Linked DNA regions of Rhinolophus ferrumequinum. The protein of the gene in region 1 interacts with the protein of each later gene in a pairwise test. Links are inferred from orthologs where the notes say so. Each region holds a gene or a part of one and is shown in the gene's direction. Other genes may lie near its edges.

What was found.
Region 2: the proteins of REEP6 (region 1) and LITAF interact in binary tests that used the Homo sapiens proteins (3 or more experiments, as listed by UniProt). The two-hybrid records come from large-scale screens. The link is inferred for Rhinolophus ferrumequinum from reciprocal best matches to the Homo sapiens genes REEP6 and LITAF.

The regions. Positions count from the first base shown.
Region 1 is NC_046301.1:61,580,569-61,587,537, reverse strand, and holds the start of REEP6 (receptor expression-enhancing protein 6), read left to right. Parts: upstream 1-3,951; 5' UTR 3,952-4,078; coding exon 4,079-4,193; intron 4,194-6,867; coding exon 6,868-6,961; intron 6,962-6,969. UniProt on the Homo sapiens protein: Required for correct function and survival of retinal photoreceptors. Required for retinal development.
Region 2 is NW_022680357.1:10,966,841-10,974,071, reverse strand, and holds the start of LITAF (lipopolysaccharide-induced tumor necrosis factor-alpha factor), read left to right. Parts: upstream 1-4,228; 5' UTR 4,229-4,230; coding exon 4,231-4,249; intron 4,250-7,231.

The DNA.
Region 1 (6,969 bases):
GGGGCCCCAGCTGGCACTGTAGATGTGAATGTGCTGCGGCTGCAGGCTCAGCGACTGGGCCTCGATGACATCGGTGATGGTGCCATCCAGCATTCGCACGCCTGCACAGGTGGGTGTTGGGCCTCGGCGGACAGCCCCGCCTGCACCACAACCCATCCAGGCCAGCTCCAGCCACCCTGGCAGGGCCCTCTCCCCACCACCAGGGAGTCGTCTGTGCTGGGGGGGTGGCGCGCTCAGCTCTCCCCACCCTGAGTCTGGGGCCTCTGCATTGTCCAGTGGCAAGGGTGTGGCCGTGAGAGGCTTCCTCCCCTGGTTGATCTGCCAACTCTCCCTGGCATTGTCAGCCACCCAGCGCCACCCAGTCCAGCCTCTGTCCTGGCGCGCCTCTGTACCTCCAATTCGGGCATTGTAGGCGACGCCTATACCGCAGAACCTGTTGTTAGCAATGGCTGCCACTTCCCCAGCACAGCGGGTTCCATGCCTGGCCCCAAGGCAGAAAGGGGTTCCCGTCAAGGCCCCCTGATCCCCAAAGGGCACAAGGGCCACCCCCAGGCCCTATGGGATGCTGGGCTCACCGATTCTCCTCACTGGGTGTGTATCGTGGCTGGGGGTCCGGGTCATAGTCGTTAAAGTCATAGCTGGCCAAGGGGTCCTGGGGGTGGGGTGGGGATGTGAAGGGGGTGGGGTAGTCTGTGGGACAGAGGCAGACCCCCCTTCCCAACCTGTCCCTCCAGGGGCTCACGTAGTTGGCCCAGAGATCCGGGTGGTCCTTCTCGATGCCGTCATCCAGGATGGAGACCACGATGCCCTGGCCTGACAACCCCTGGCTCCAGACCTGCAGGATGTTCAGGTCCGGCTGGACCTGGTTGTTCTGTGCCAAGTGGGGCTGGAGTCAGTGGGGATCCAGCACAACCCCAACCAATCGCCTGGCCCAGCCCGCTTACCATATACCACTGCTTGGAGAACCAGGGGTCCGTGGGCACCATTAAGGAGCGCTTCACCCGCCACCGCAGCGTCTGCTGCTCAAACCACTGCACCTGAAGGGGGACACACGCCAAGGCAGGGGCTGGACCCATCTATCTTGCCTTACACCCATGCACTTTAGAGGGTCCTGTCCCACGGACCAAGAGGACATGCCCCTCTGAGCCCTTCCTGCCAATTCCTAGTCAAAAGGCTTGTGTCTAGGGTCTGCCCGGGCTGCTTCCCAGGGTCTGCTAAGGAGCAATTGTCAATGGGGCTGTGGTTGGTGTGGGACGTGTGTCTGGGTTGCGACTGCTTGTCCTGGGACTTTGTGTTTGCTGGGGCTGATCTTCAGGGTCCCCATGTGCCTGGGGCTCTGTCTTCAGAGGGGGCCAAGGCCCTTGGAGCCCCCATTCCCAGGGCCCACGGACACATGGCCACTTCCCAGGGACCTGTCCTCTCCCCTGCAGTGGCCAGTTCTCTCTACCACCCCCGTTACCGTGCAGGACACCCTTGCATACCCACTTCCTCCCTGGTCCTCCAGCTGTACCCCTGCCTCAATAAACCACTCTTAGCACACAGCAGCAGTGCTTTCTGTCAAAATCCTCCCGTGGCTCCCTACCGCCCTCTCCAGGGCCCACAATGCCCTTCCTATCTGTCCCCCACCAGCCTCTCTACGCTGCTGCCACAGTGGCTGCCCCACCTGGGCCTTTGCACATATTGTTCTGCCTCCCTGGGGCTGCTGCTCCTCCTTTCTTGTTGATCTCCCACCTGCCCCTCAAACCGATTCCTGTCTCCCCCACCCCCATCTAAGCAATCAGGGCCATCATCTCCCCATTTGCTCTGCTCCAATCTTGGGAGCTGGCCCTGATTTCTCTCCCTCAGTCACATGCACCTAATCCATCGGCAAGCCCGGCCTCTCTCTTGCAAATATCTCCAAGTGGCCACTTCTCTCTGTAGCCAGTTCTCCGGGTGGGTTTCGAACAGTCAAGCTTCTTGCCTCCTTGCTGATCAGCCCCCCAACCCAGCCCATACCTCTTTGTGGCTCCCAAGGACTTGCTAGACTCAGTTTCAAATCCTCAGCTTGGCTTCTAAGGCCTTTTCCCTATCTGTCATCTTTCTGAGCATCTGGAGACCCGGTTCTGGTGCCAATTCAGTCACAGCCTTATTGAGTGACTTCAGACAGGATTCCTCCTCTTTGGAATTGTTCCTTCCATCACAAAACTGGCCAATTCCCCCTCGTCTACCCCATGAGCTAGCATGTTATCTGCCTCTCTTTATGGGGCACCTTGATCTGTCAGGATGAAACAAAGGAGGGAGGGAGGGAGCGTGGGGGGCAGGGGTTTGCAACAAGAATTATATTTTGTGCCAGGCCCTGGGGTGAGCACCGAGCCCATGCTTAATCATTTGCTTTCCACAGATGTTCCCCATCTGAATCCCCACTGTATAGACTGGGGGGCCAGGTGGAGACCATGACTCAGAGCAGGTAACTTGTGAAAGGTCACAGCCATTCATAACAATCACAAGAATAACAGGAGGTGGCTGAGACCACAAGTGGGCAGCCCCGAAGCCAGGCTCACCTTGGGGTCTTTCTTCAGGCGCAGGCGGTGGCCCCAGTGCGGGGTCAGGGACTGCTGGACCACGCCCCGGTGCCGCAGGTGGAAGTAGCGCCCATCTGGGAAGATCTGAGAATGTGGGGGAGCAGTAGCTTCGCTAGGGCCGGCTCCCCGATGGAGCCCCCGCAGGACAGGGACCAGCCCCTTTGCTTGCTTCCTCCCCCAACCAGGTGGCCACTTGGAGGCTATGAGTGCCCTCTGCGGGTCCTAGAATCTGAAGTTGGTCGAAGAAGGGATGGACTGGAGGTTCTTGAGGGTACCTGGGGGCCCCCCCCCTCCTGTCAGTCGGGGCCTGGGGTCTTGGGTTGTCTCGCCCCCGCCCCCTTCCCGTCCATCCGGATCCCACCCACCTGTCCCAGGTTGACGAAGCCGAATTTGCGGGCTAAGCGCTCGGCCTCCCGGTAACCCTGGGACACTCGCACGGCCCAGCTGCTGACATAGATGGGGACCCGGGCCGAAGCCCACCCCACAGCCAGGAAACAAACGAGGACCAGGCTCAGGGTCAAAGCCAGGCGCAACCAGAGAACAGTCCAGGCGGGCCGCATGGCGATGGGGGCGGGGTCGGGGTCTACAAATATCCCTCCCCCTGGCCAAACCGCCGAATTGGTCCAAGAGCCCGCCCCGCCCCCGGCGCCATAGCAACCCCTGAAAGGCTTCAACTCCCAGGGGGCCTTGCGGCTCCCCATTCAGGGGCTCAAGGATCCGACAGAAATGGGCGGGGGAACACACGCTTTCCCTGGTCTTTTGCAGACCCAAACCCTCTGGAGTCTCCCCATTTGTACAATAACCCAATTCTTCCGACCCAGAGGAGCGGGTTCACTGTTACTATGATTGACCCGCCCCTTTATTTAGCCCCGCCCGCTTTTCTACATACTCCTCCCACTAAAACAATATCAGCCCTGCCTCCTCTCCAGCCCAACCAGAATCGTTCTTTCGAGTAAGTCCCGCCTCTTCAATTTAGCTCCGCCCTTCAGATTCCGTCCCGCCTCCTTTATGACCAGCCCCGCCCCTCCTCTGATTCTTGCCAATGAATCTCTTCCCGTTTCTCCAATCAGCTCGGGCTTTTCTCAGGCCCCACCCACCAGTTCCGCCCACCCCAGCACGCTTCGCTCCTCCCCAGCTCCACCCACACAAAGGCTCAGCCAATAATCCAAGGCTATGACCCCGCCCCTCCAATCAGCTACGTCCCTCTCCCGCTCGGCCAATTGGCGCCCTCGGCCGTCGCGCCCTGCCTCCTACCTCTGGAGTCGCGGCTGCGGCGGCCGCGGCGGGCCAGAGGGCAATGCGACGGGGGAGAAGGGGCAGGCCCCACCTCCTTTGTCCGCCCTGCCCTCCCATTGGCCGGTGCGAGGGTCAGGGGGTGGAGACCAGCCCCGGGGCGGAGACCAGCCCCGGGGCTGAGCGGTGCGGCTCGCTTCGGGGGAAGACAGCGCGCGCTCCGCAGGGTCGGTGCGCCGGGCTGCGGTCGAGCTCGGGTTGCCAGCCCCGGGACGGCCGGTACCATGGACGGCCTGCGCCAGCGCTTCGAGCGCCTTCTGGAACAGAGGAACTTGGCCACCGAAGCGCTAGAGGTGCTCGAAGCCAAGACCGGTGTCGACAAGCGGTACTTGGCCGCGGGTGAGCCGTCGGGGGCGCTCGGGGCCGCCGCCCCATTTCACCGATGGGCACACTGAGGCAACCCTGGGCACCCTGGGGCAACCGGGCCTCAGACCTGCCCCACTCCAGCTGGCCCAAGCTGCGGGGTCCGGACTGGACGGCGGGGCGTGCCCCGCTGTACCGCGGGGGGTAGACCTAGATCATGGCGGGGGAGGGGTCGTAGATCTGGACCACGGTGTGCTACAGGTCCTCTCCTGCCCCCGCCGTGCGACCTCAGGCGAGAGCCCCCCCTTTCTCAGCCCCCGCAGCACGCCCATTCTGGCCCTCGGGTCTGGAGGCCCGTCCTCTGCCCCCTCCCTCAGGGCTTTGGGTGCCTGCCAGGCCGAAGTCCGGTTCTTCCAGTTGCCCTGCCGTCCCCCGGGGAGAAGGGGGCAGGAAGGCAGCCAGTGCCCTGAGTCTGGCCACCCCTGTCCCTGATGGACCCCAGCCTGAAAGCAAGTGTAGAGATCTCGGTTTTCCGAAGGGATGCCCCCTGCCAGGAGGGAAAGGTCACGTCCACCTTCCCTCCCATTGTTTTCCTGCTAGTACCCTCCTTGGCCTGCCCTCTCCCCTGGTGGCCCAAGGGCTTTGACCCACTCTGCGTGAATAGTTGAGTTGAATAGTTGAGTTGGAGTTCGGTTGTTTGACAGCTGTGTTCATTTTGGAGAAAGCTTGGATGGGGACCCAGGAAGAAGGGGGTCCAGCCACATCTGACTGTAACTTCCATTCCAGTCCCTCCTCTTCCTTTCCTCCTCAATGGCCTGGTGTGGCTCCTGCCACTTTCTAAAACTGTCCAGTAAACACCCATTAAATGCCTTCCTTCCCTGTTTTGCAGTGTACCAGTCCCACCCACTTTGTCACCTCTCCCAGGAAACCCCCCTGGAATGAATCAAAGATGCTGGGGTGGGAGTGGTGGGGAAGGCTTTAAGTGAGGACAATGACAGATGTTTTGAGCACCTTCCATTTGTAGATCCTGGGAATCCACTTTCATCCCATTTCCCCATCAATCAGGGCATCCCCATGCCAAGCAGCTCAAGGAAGATTCGATATCTGTCCCCCCCAGATTCCTAGTGCCAAACCCATGTCAGCTCAGCCGAGGACTTGCCCCTGGGAGCCAGCCATTGACCTCCTGCCTGGCTTTCCACATCCCTGCTACCAATGGGTGGGGGATTTAGGTCACAGTGCACTGGGGAGGGGCCCACCAGGGAGGCTAGTGGTTACAGGGAGGAAACTAAGGCCCAGAGAGGCAGGGGCTGTTGGGAGGTTGCCCCTACCACCTGACCTGACTGGAATATCCACCCCTCCCCCGACCCCTCCTACCCTGAGCCCCATCTGTTGCTGATCTCAGGTTGTGCCCCCGCCAAGTCCAAGGTCATCCTCCCATTGCTGAGGCTGCAGGAATAGGGATTGAGGGGAGGGGTGCCCTGGGAGAGCCGCTGCTCCCCCTCTAGTGATTTCTAGAGAAGGGGTGACATTTCCCCACCCCCTCACCCACATGTGGGAACCCTTGGACCCCACCTGCCCCAAATGGCCAAATCCCCCTTCCCAAGTAATAGGAAACCCAGAGGCGCCAGCTGGGGAGGACCCCCTCCCACTCCTGACCCCAGACTGCGATAGATACTAATGCAGGTGGAGGGAAGGGTGTGGGTGACTCTGCCCTTTGGTCCATGAGTGGCCTCTCTCTCTCTCTCTCTCTCTCTGTCTCTCTCTCTCTGTCTCTCTCTCTCTCTCTTTGCAGATAACAGCCTCAGGGGAAGAGGCGGGAGGCTGTAAATGCTCCCAAATGACCCTGGGCAAGTTCCTCTCGCCCTGCTTCCTTCTCTCATTGCCTGAGACAGAACAGGGAAGCACAGAGCCCCATACATAAGAAGTACTTAATAAATGTGACAGTTACCATTGTTTTCAGAGTGACTAGTGCTCCTGGCTGCCCCCACTCCCACACTATTCTCCTCTGAGCCTTATTGGTGTTTCTGTGACCAGAGGCCCTCAGTAATGTGTGGAAAGGACGAGTCTTCTGTGTTGAATGTATTTAGCTAAACCCACAACCCTAAGAGGCAGGGCCACTACCACCCCATTGACAGATGGGGAAACTGAGTCTCCAAGCTCAGTGTCACATGGTAAGTGAGTGGAGGAGCAGAGGGCTCTCCAAGGTCTGGGGGCTCTAGACTGCCCTTTGCTGCCTCCCACTAAGACAAGGGGTCTCAAACGGGACCATGCGCTACCTCAGGACACTTGGCAGTGTCTGGTGACATTTCCGGTTGTCACAATTAGGGGGTTCTCCTGGCATCAAGTGGGCATCAAGTGGGACCCAGAGTGAGGTGATTATAATTGCAGATGATCACTTATTCATTCAACAAACATTGAGTGGGCAGCTACTCTGTACCCACCAGGGCGGAGCTCCCCACTTACCTTTGGGGACCTCGCAGTCCCATGCGGGAGATGGATCTGTTAACTGATTATAGACATAAGACTCAGGGCTCAGGGCCACAGAGGAGTCACCCAGGAGTTGCAGGGGAATGTGTCCTGGAGGGGTCGCTGAGTCTTGTAGGGAGAGTAACAATGGTGGACTGTATCTGCCAGGCCAAGAGGAGGCCCAGGGGCTTGTGGGCCAGGCACGGAGTGAGCCAGACTCCCACCCACGCCCTCTTTTCTGCAGGAGCCGCCACTCTGCTAAGCCTGTATCTTCTGTTCGGTTACGGGGCGTCTCTACTGTGCAATCTCATTGGCTTTGTGTACCCCGCATATGCTTCGTGAGTGC
Region 2 (7,231 bases), on another chromosome or scaffold:
TTTTTGGATGATCCTGTGACTTTCTGGAGGGGAAGGGAAGGACGTGTGGAAACAAACCAGGGAGTCCTGGAAGCCCGCTGGGAGGCAGAGCCCCTGGGGCAAGGATTTGGTCTTTTTCACATCAAAAACTTGTTGACAGCTCAGAAAGCACAGCCTCTCTCCTGGAGACAAGGCAGGGGTGTTTATTTTTTCTAAAAGGTTTAAAAAGGTCTTTATTTTATTGTAAACGCAATACATACATGCTCATTGTTGTTTTTTTGTTTTGTTTTGTTTTGTTTTAAACCCAAAGAATACAAAGTTGTATAAAGTAAAGTTCTTGCCCCTTTTCTTCAGAGGGAGCCTCCCTGGGCTGTTTGGGTCCTTTCTTTCTTTTAGATGTTTTCCATATCAAGGGTTTTCAAACGTTTTTAGCTCCAAGCCACGGTGAAAAATTGATTTTGTGTTGTAACCCAGGACACACGGACACTGACATATAACTAAACAGAAGTTTTATGCAGTGATACTTACAAGGAATGCAGTCAGGGTTTGTCTGTTCTGTTCTATTCCTATTCTATTCCTATTTTCATTCCGTTCCTGCCCAGCCCAGCCCAGCCCAGCCCATCTACAAACAAAGGTAGCCGGTCATAACCCAATCCTATGGTTTCATGTTTGGTGTGACCTTCAGTGAAACGCTGCTGTAGATGTTAACATACAATCTCGATTGTTCGCTACTGCTTTTTTAAAAAAAATTATTTTTCACTTACAGTTGACAAACAACATTATATTAGTTTCAGGTGTACAGCATAGTGATCAGACATTTATATACCTTACGAAGTGATCCCCCGGTAAGTCTAGTACCCACCTGACACCCTCCATCGTTATGACAGTATTACTATTTCCTGTGCTATATGTTACATCCCCGTGACTGTTCTACACCTGGCGATTTGTACTTCTCATCCCTTTGCCCTTGAGGATTTTGCAGCCTGCTTTCCATCTGCAGACATACCGGCTATTTCTTCCTCCTTCCGCGGCAGAGGGACTTACTGAGCGGTTTTTCACAGTGTACTTGTCAGCTTCTTCTGCATAGCTGTTTGTGTTGTCCCCCCATGGGGCTGTCAGCAGCAAGGTTCTGGGGGATCTCCCATCCGCTCAGGTACAAGGATAACCTGGCAATAAAGCAGGCACTTCTCAAACACCTTGATTGCTGCTGGGAATGGCCTAGGGAGGAGTTCTTCAAGGTGTGCTTCTGGGGGTACAGAAGGACCCTTTGCTCCCCAGCAGGGCACCCTACATCTGATGACCACACAGGACTTTATTTCTGCTTTGTTTCTCAACCTGCTTACGATGCTGGGAAATACTTCAGCGCGTTTTAGAAATGAGTCGGGTCCCCGGTTCACTTCTCCTTTCTCCTCTTCCACTTCCTTTTTTGTTACTCGAAGGCTTCAGAGGTGGGGATGTTCCTCAGCCCTTTGCCAAAGCTCTTCCACAGCGCTGGCCTTTCTGCCCGGGGACTTTTTGTGTTGTCTAGCTTGGTCAGTGTGCACCATGTGCATATGTACATGAATGGGGACCGCAGCTACGTGAATGAGAATAGGCCCTTAATTTGCAGTCCTGTCTTAGGTTCAAATGCCGATTCTGACACTTCCAAGCGGCAAAACCTTGGGTCTCGGTTGCTTTACCATTATTAAAATGGGGATTATATAATAATTCCTACTCAGGTTAAAAGGATAGAATATGGGTAAGCACACTAACTGTAGAGAGAGCCTATCTGGATTCTGATCTTGGCTTCACACTCACTGTGTGACCTTGGGCAAGATACTTAACTACTCTGTGTCTCAGTTTCCTCATCTGTAAAATGGGGCAAACACTGTCTACCTTACAGTGTTCTTGTGAGGATTAAATGAGTCATATACACGCTGATAGAGCCTGGCTACGCATTTATTATGGCTATTGTTATTATTAAGAAGGACCCAAAAAAATGATCTATTGTCTTTGGCTTGGAGTAATCACAGTTTTGTTTTTAAATTATGGTTTTAGAGAGAGCATGCTGTTGGTTCAGAAGGCAGGAGGCCTGGTAATGAGCATTTGGCCCTGACTGTGTAAGCGAGGAGGGAGAGGCAGTCTTAGAGGCCTCTTCCCCGGTGGGTTTCCCAGGTGTTTCTTCCACATTTCAGTGCCCCCAAGAAGGAGAGCGGGGTGGAAGAGGGGGCGCAGGGAAGTGGTTGAGGGGGAGACAGCCTCATCCCAGAAGGTGGGTAGGTGAAAGAGGAAGCAGCATAATTCACCTTTGTGTGTGTGTGTGTGTGGGGGGGAGTGGGGATGGGGAACTCTCCAGATAACAAGGTCTCCTAATGATGCTCCCAGGTCAGGACCCTTGGGGCCGGGGTGCAGGAAGCGGGAGTGGAGGGAATGTCAGGGTTCTGTCCCCTCCCCCCAGACTGCCTTCTCTTTATTCATGTGCCAGGCCTTTGCTGGGCACCTGGGACATATCTGTGAGCAACAGACAACGAGCCCTGACTTCCCAGAACTGACAGTGTAGCTGGGGACACAGATAAGGAATAACAAGCATACTGTCATTCATTAGAAGGTGACAAGTGGTACAGAAAATCAGGGAGTGGTGTCAAGAGGGTGAGGGAGGGGGCTATCATCTCTGAGAAGGTGGTTAGGGTGGGGCTGGTTGAGAAGGCGGCATTTCAGCAAAGACTCCAAGGAGGGAGGAAGCCATGTCTGATACCTGGGGTGACAGTGGTCCCGTCAGGCGGAATGGCCAGTGCAAAGACCCTGAGGCAGGACGGTGCTGGATCAGCAGGGAGGCCCCTGTGGGTGGAGTGGAGTGGTCACAGAGGCTTCGGGGAGGATCGCGACACCTCTCTGGACTGCGGAAACCAAGTTAGGACCTCAGGTGGGAGATGCTTGGTGGTTTGATCCATGAGTACATTTGCTTGGTAGGACGATTTTCTTATCACAGAGCTGTGACTGCTGCTAACAGATCAGAACTGTGATTCCAGAAACACATGGGCGCACGTTCATAGGTCTTGTGGGGTTTTGTTTTTCGTGGAAGGGGAGCTTAAAAAACAACAGCAACGCAACAATAATAATAGTTATGAACAACTGAAGCCTTACTATGTGCCAGGCATGCTGCCATGCTGCTTCTCCTCAGGAGTTTATCTCGTTGTCATGGCCACACTAGGAGATGGCAGGACAGCTGAGAAAACAGGGGAGTCTGGAAGGAGAGGCTGACCGAGGTCCTGCCACCAGGAAGGAACCAAGAAGGGGACTTTGGTGTAGACTTCGTGCCAGACTCAGAGTCATTGCCTCAAAGCAAAGGAGCCTGACTGCCCCACTCCCCACCCCAAGCCCTGATCAGACCCTCTGGACATTGGGCAATTCAGGCTTCCTCAGACTTGCTTTGCAGCCCCGGGCCTGCCCTTCTTCTGGCTGGAAGAGAAACAGGCCTTGAACCAAGTTCAGCAGCTGGTGCCAGGCAACCTAGAACTGGTGAACAAACACTGGTGTTCAGGTTCAAATTCCAGGAAACACAGAAACAGCCCAGCAGGGGTGCGCCTGGGAGAAAACCCCAGACAAGGAAGTCCCTTTGAAAGTTGCATGAGAAGGTAGCTCCCATGTCCGGGGCACCTGGAGAGACAAAGGTGTAAGAAACAGAGGGCCTTGTGGGTGCCCTGAGCGAGAGGAGGAACCTGTGTGGAGACCTGGCCTGGGCTGAAACACATTGGTAGACTATTCCCTTTCAGACGGGGGCTTGCTTCAAATCACACAGAACTGCTTGTTTCTGTTTTGTATGTTGGGGCTCTACAGAGGCTGCATTGAGGGGAAAGGTTCTGAGGTTCAAAAGCCCGAAAGATACGGGTCTGGGTGATTTAGAAGGCTTGAAGATCTCCACGGCATGGCAGCAAAATATGGACTTGCAGCCAGGCAGCCTGGGTTCAGTGACTCTGCTACCATTACTAGCTGTGTGAGCTTTGGCACCTTGCTTAACCTCTCTGGGCCTCAATTGCTACATCTTAAAACTGGAAATATAGTACTTACCTCACAGGGTTGTTGGGAAAGCATCGTGTGACTGGAGCATCATGTGACTGTTGGTAAAATAAACATGATTCTGGGATGCATGCTCCACCCACACCACCACCCCCTCCCCGCCCAGGGAGGTGGAATAGATCTCTGAGAATGAAGCTCTCTGTGCCATGGAGACATGTGTTTCCTGGAGGCGACAGCAACGAGAAAGAGCCAGCAATGATTGCAACGTCACAGGGTACTACTTCTTTTTGATTTATTATCTCTCAGCCTTGCTCCCAGTCAGAACATAAACTCCAGGGAAGTAAAGAATTTGCCCATTGTTACCCTGGTCCTTGCTCTTGGAACAGTACTGGCACCCAGGGCATATCAGCTGAGGGCGTCAAGGGGCTGTGTGACTTGGAGCCTGTTATTTAACCTTTCTGGGCCTCAGTTTCCCCATCCGTAAAACAGGAGGGTTTTTGTAAGGAGAAAAAGGAGATAATAGAAAAGTGCCTTGTCCAGGGTCTGGCACCCAGTAGGGACCCAGCTTGTGTGTCCTGTCCTTTCATCGTCGTCATCACCATCATCAGTCTGTATTAGGGGCTCATTCTGTAGCCTTTGCCTGAGCCGGCATATGTCTTGTTAAATAGAAACGCAGGCACGCAGCATGACATCTGGGTGTTGTTACTGAGTGGGGCAGGCCTCTCTTCCTGAGGACACATTTGCCCTGAGGTTTATGGGGCCCCCATAAATCAGGTAATCAGGTCCTCGCCCTGGGCAGGCCAGAGCTGCTTCTGGGTGGGCCTGGTGAGGACGGAGGCATAGACAGTTCTGGGATAGTCTCCATACCTCCAGGGGAAGGGTTAACCCAGGGAATTATGGGGCCCGGGAAGCTCACCTGGGCCTCTCCCTGGGCCCTGGCTACAGCTGCCATCGCCCACAGCAGAGACCAAGGATTGACTCAGGCCTCCTGACGTGGCCAGAAGACCAGGCAGCTGGCATTGCCAGATAGAATAGAAAATGCCCAGTTAAATGGGAATTTTAGACAAACAATGAGTGAGTGATTTTTTTTTTAGTTTCAGTATGACCTGTGTAATATTTGGGATGTATTACAAGTCTGCAATATTTAGGACATAGTTATACTAAACAATCACTTGCTGTTTAGCTGAAATTCAAGTTTAACTGGGTATCTTGTGTTTTTATTTGCTACGTCTGGCAAGTGAGACTCTACCAAGGTCTCTATGTCCGTAAGCATCCAGAGCCAGGGCCCTGGAAGAACAGCGAGCCAGGATCTTGCATGGGGCGGGGGTCAGGCACCCTTGGGCAAGCCTCTGGCCTCAGTTTCCCCATCTGCATAACTCAGCAGTCCAATTCTCTGCTGCACAGGGCTTTTGTGAGAATGAATTGTGTGATGCGTGTGGGAAATGTGTTTTTTGGAAATGGAAAAGGTGTTATGGAAACATTAGTTACCAGAATTCCTGGTTATAAATAACACAGACCAGTCAGTGGAGGCTATTTCTGGCAACTGGGTTCTTTGTTTTTGAAAATTACTTGTTTTCTTTTTTAGGCAGTTGGTGTTAGTTCTTAAAATGTTAGAAAATTCAGAGTAGCAAAAGGAGAAAAAACTCCTAATTTCCATCAGTCAGGGATAACCATTTATAGTGTTCTTTATCCTTGAAAAAGTGTGAAGAATTTTTTCCAGGTGTGTGTGTGTGTGTGTGTGTGTGTGTGTGTGTGTGTGTGTGTGAATTTTTTTCTTTTAACATAAAGTGGATCATATTCTGCATTTTTTTTAAGGCAATTGGTTTTGCTCTCTTGGCTGCTGTTATTTCTGAAATTGAATGAGGAAGTGTCACTCAGACGAAGTCTCTCCCTTTCTGTCTGGTCCATGTGATTCCAGTGTATTGGCACGTGCGTGTCTACTTCCCAGATCTCGTCCTGGGCCTAGTGGAGACTTTGCAGCTGCGTTTTGGGTTAGAACACAGCTGCAAAGTCTCCACTAGGAAAAGGAATAGTCACAGATTTCGTGTGACACTGTGTGGCCCCCTCCTGCTGTGTCCTAACAGGGCATACATGAGATGCCTGATTTGCTTTTTTTTTTTAACTGAGATATAATTCACAAAATATACAATTTAGTGGCATTTAGTACATTCAAAATATTGTGCAACCATCACCATTATAAACTTCCAGGACATTTTTTGGCAACCCCTAAAATAAACCCCATACCTATTAGCAGTCTCAGTCCCCACTCCTTCCAGTCCCTGGCAACCACTAATCAGCTCTCTGTCTCTATAGATTTGCCTAGTCTCGAAATTTCATGTAATTGGAACCATAAGATATGTGTCCCTTTATGTCTGGCTCCTCTCACTGAGCATAAGGTTTTCAAGGTTCATCCACGTTGTAGCAGGTATCAGTGCTTCGTTCCTTTTTCTGGCCAAATAATATTCTGTCATGTGGCTGCACGACCTTTTGTTTATCCATTCATCAGTTGATGGGCATTTGGGTTATTTCTACCTTTTGACTATTGTGGATAATGCTGCCGTGAGTATTCCTGTACACGGTTTTGTTTGAATACCTGTTTTCAATTCTTTTGTGCATCTGCCTGGGGGTGAAATAGCAGCTACACCATTTTACATCCCCATCAGCAATGTATGAGAGTTTCCGTTTCTTCATATCTTTCCCAACACTTGTTATTTCCATTTAAAAAAAGAATTTATGACCAGCACAGTGGGTGTGAGGTTGTACCTCACGGTGGTTTTGATTTGCATTTCCTTGATGACTAATGACGCGGAGCAGCTTTTCATGTGCTTGATGGCCATTTGTGTACCTTCTTTGCAGAAATGTCTATTCACGTCCTTTGCCCATTTTTAATTTAACTTAATTTTATTTTTTGTTGTAAAATATACATGACATAAAATTGACCATTTTAACCATTTTTAAGTGTACAGTTCAGTGTCGTTAAGTATATATTCACAATGGTAACTATCACCACCATCCATCTTCAGAACTTGTTTTTAAAAAGGTAACTTTTAAAAAGCACTTTTAGGTTCACAGAAAACTTAAGAGGAGGGTAGAGACATTCCCCAAATACCCACCCCCCACACACACGTACAGTCTCCCCCATTGTCAGCACCCCCACCCAAGTGGTACATTTGTTACAACTGATGAACCTACATCAACATCATAATTATCATAATTATCAAAAGTTCATAGTTTGCATTAGGGTTGACTTTTTTTT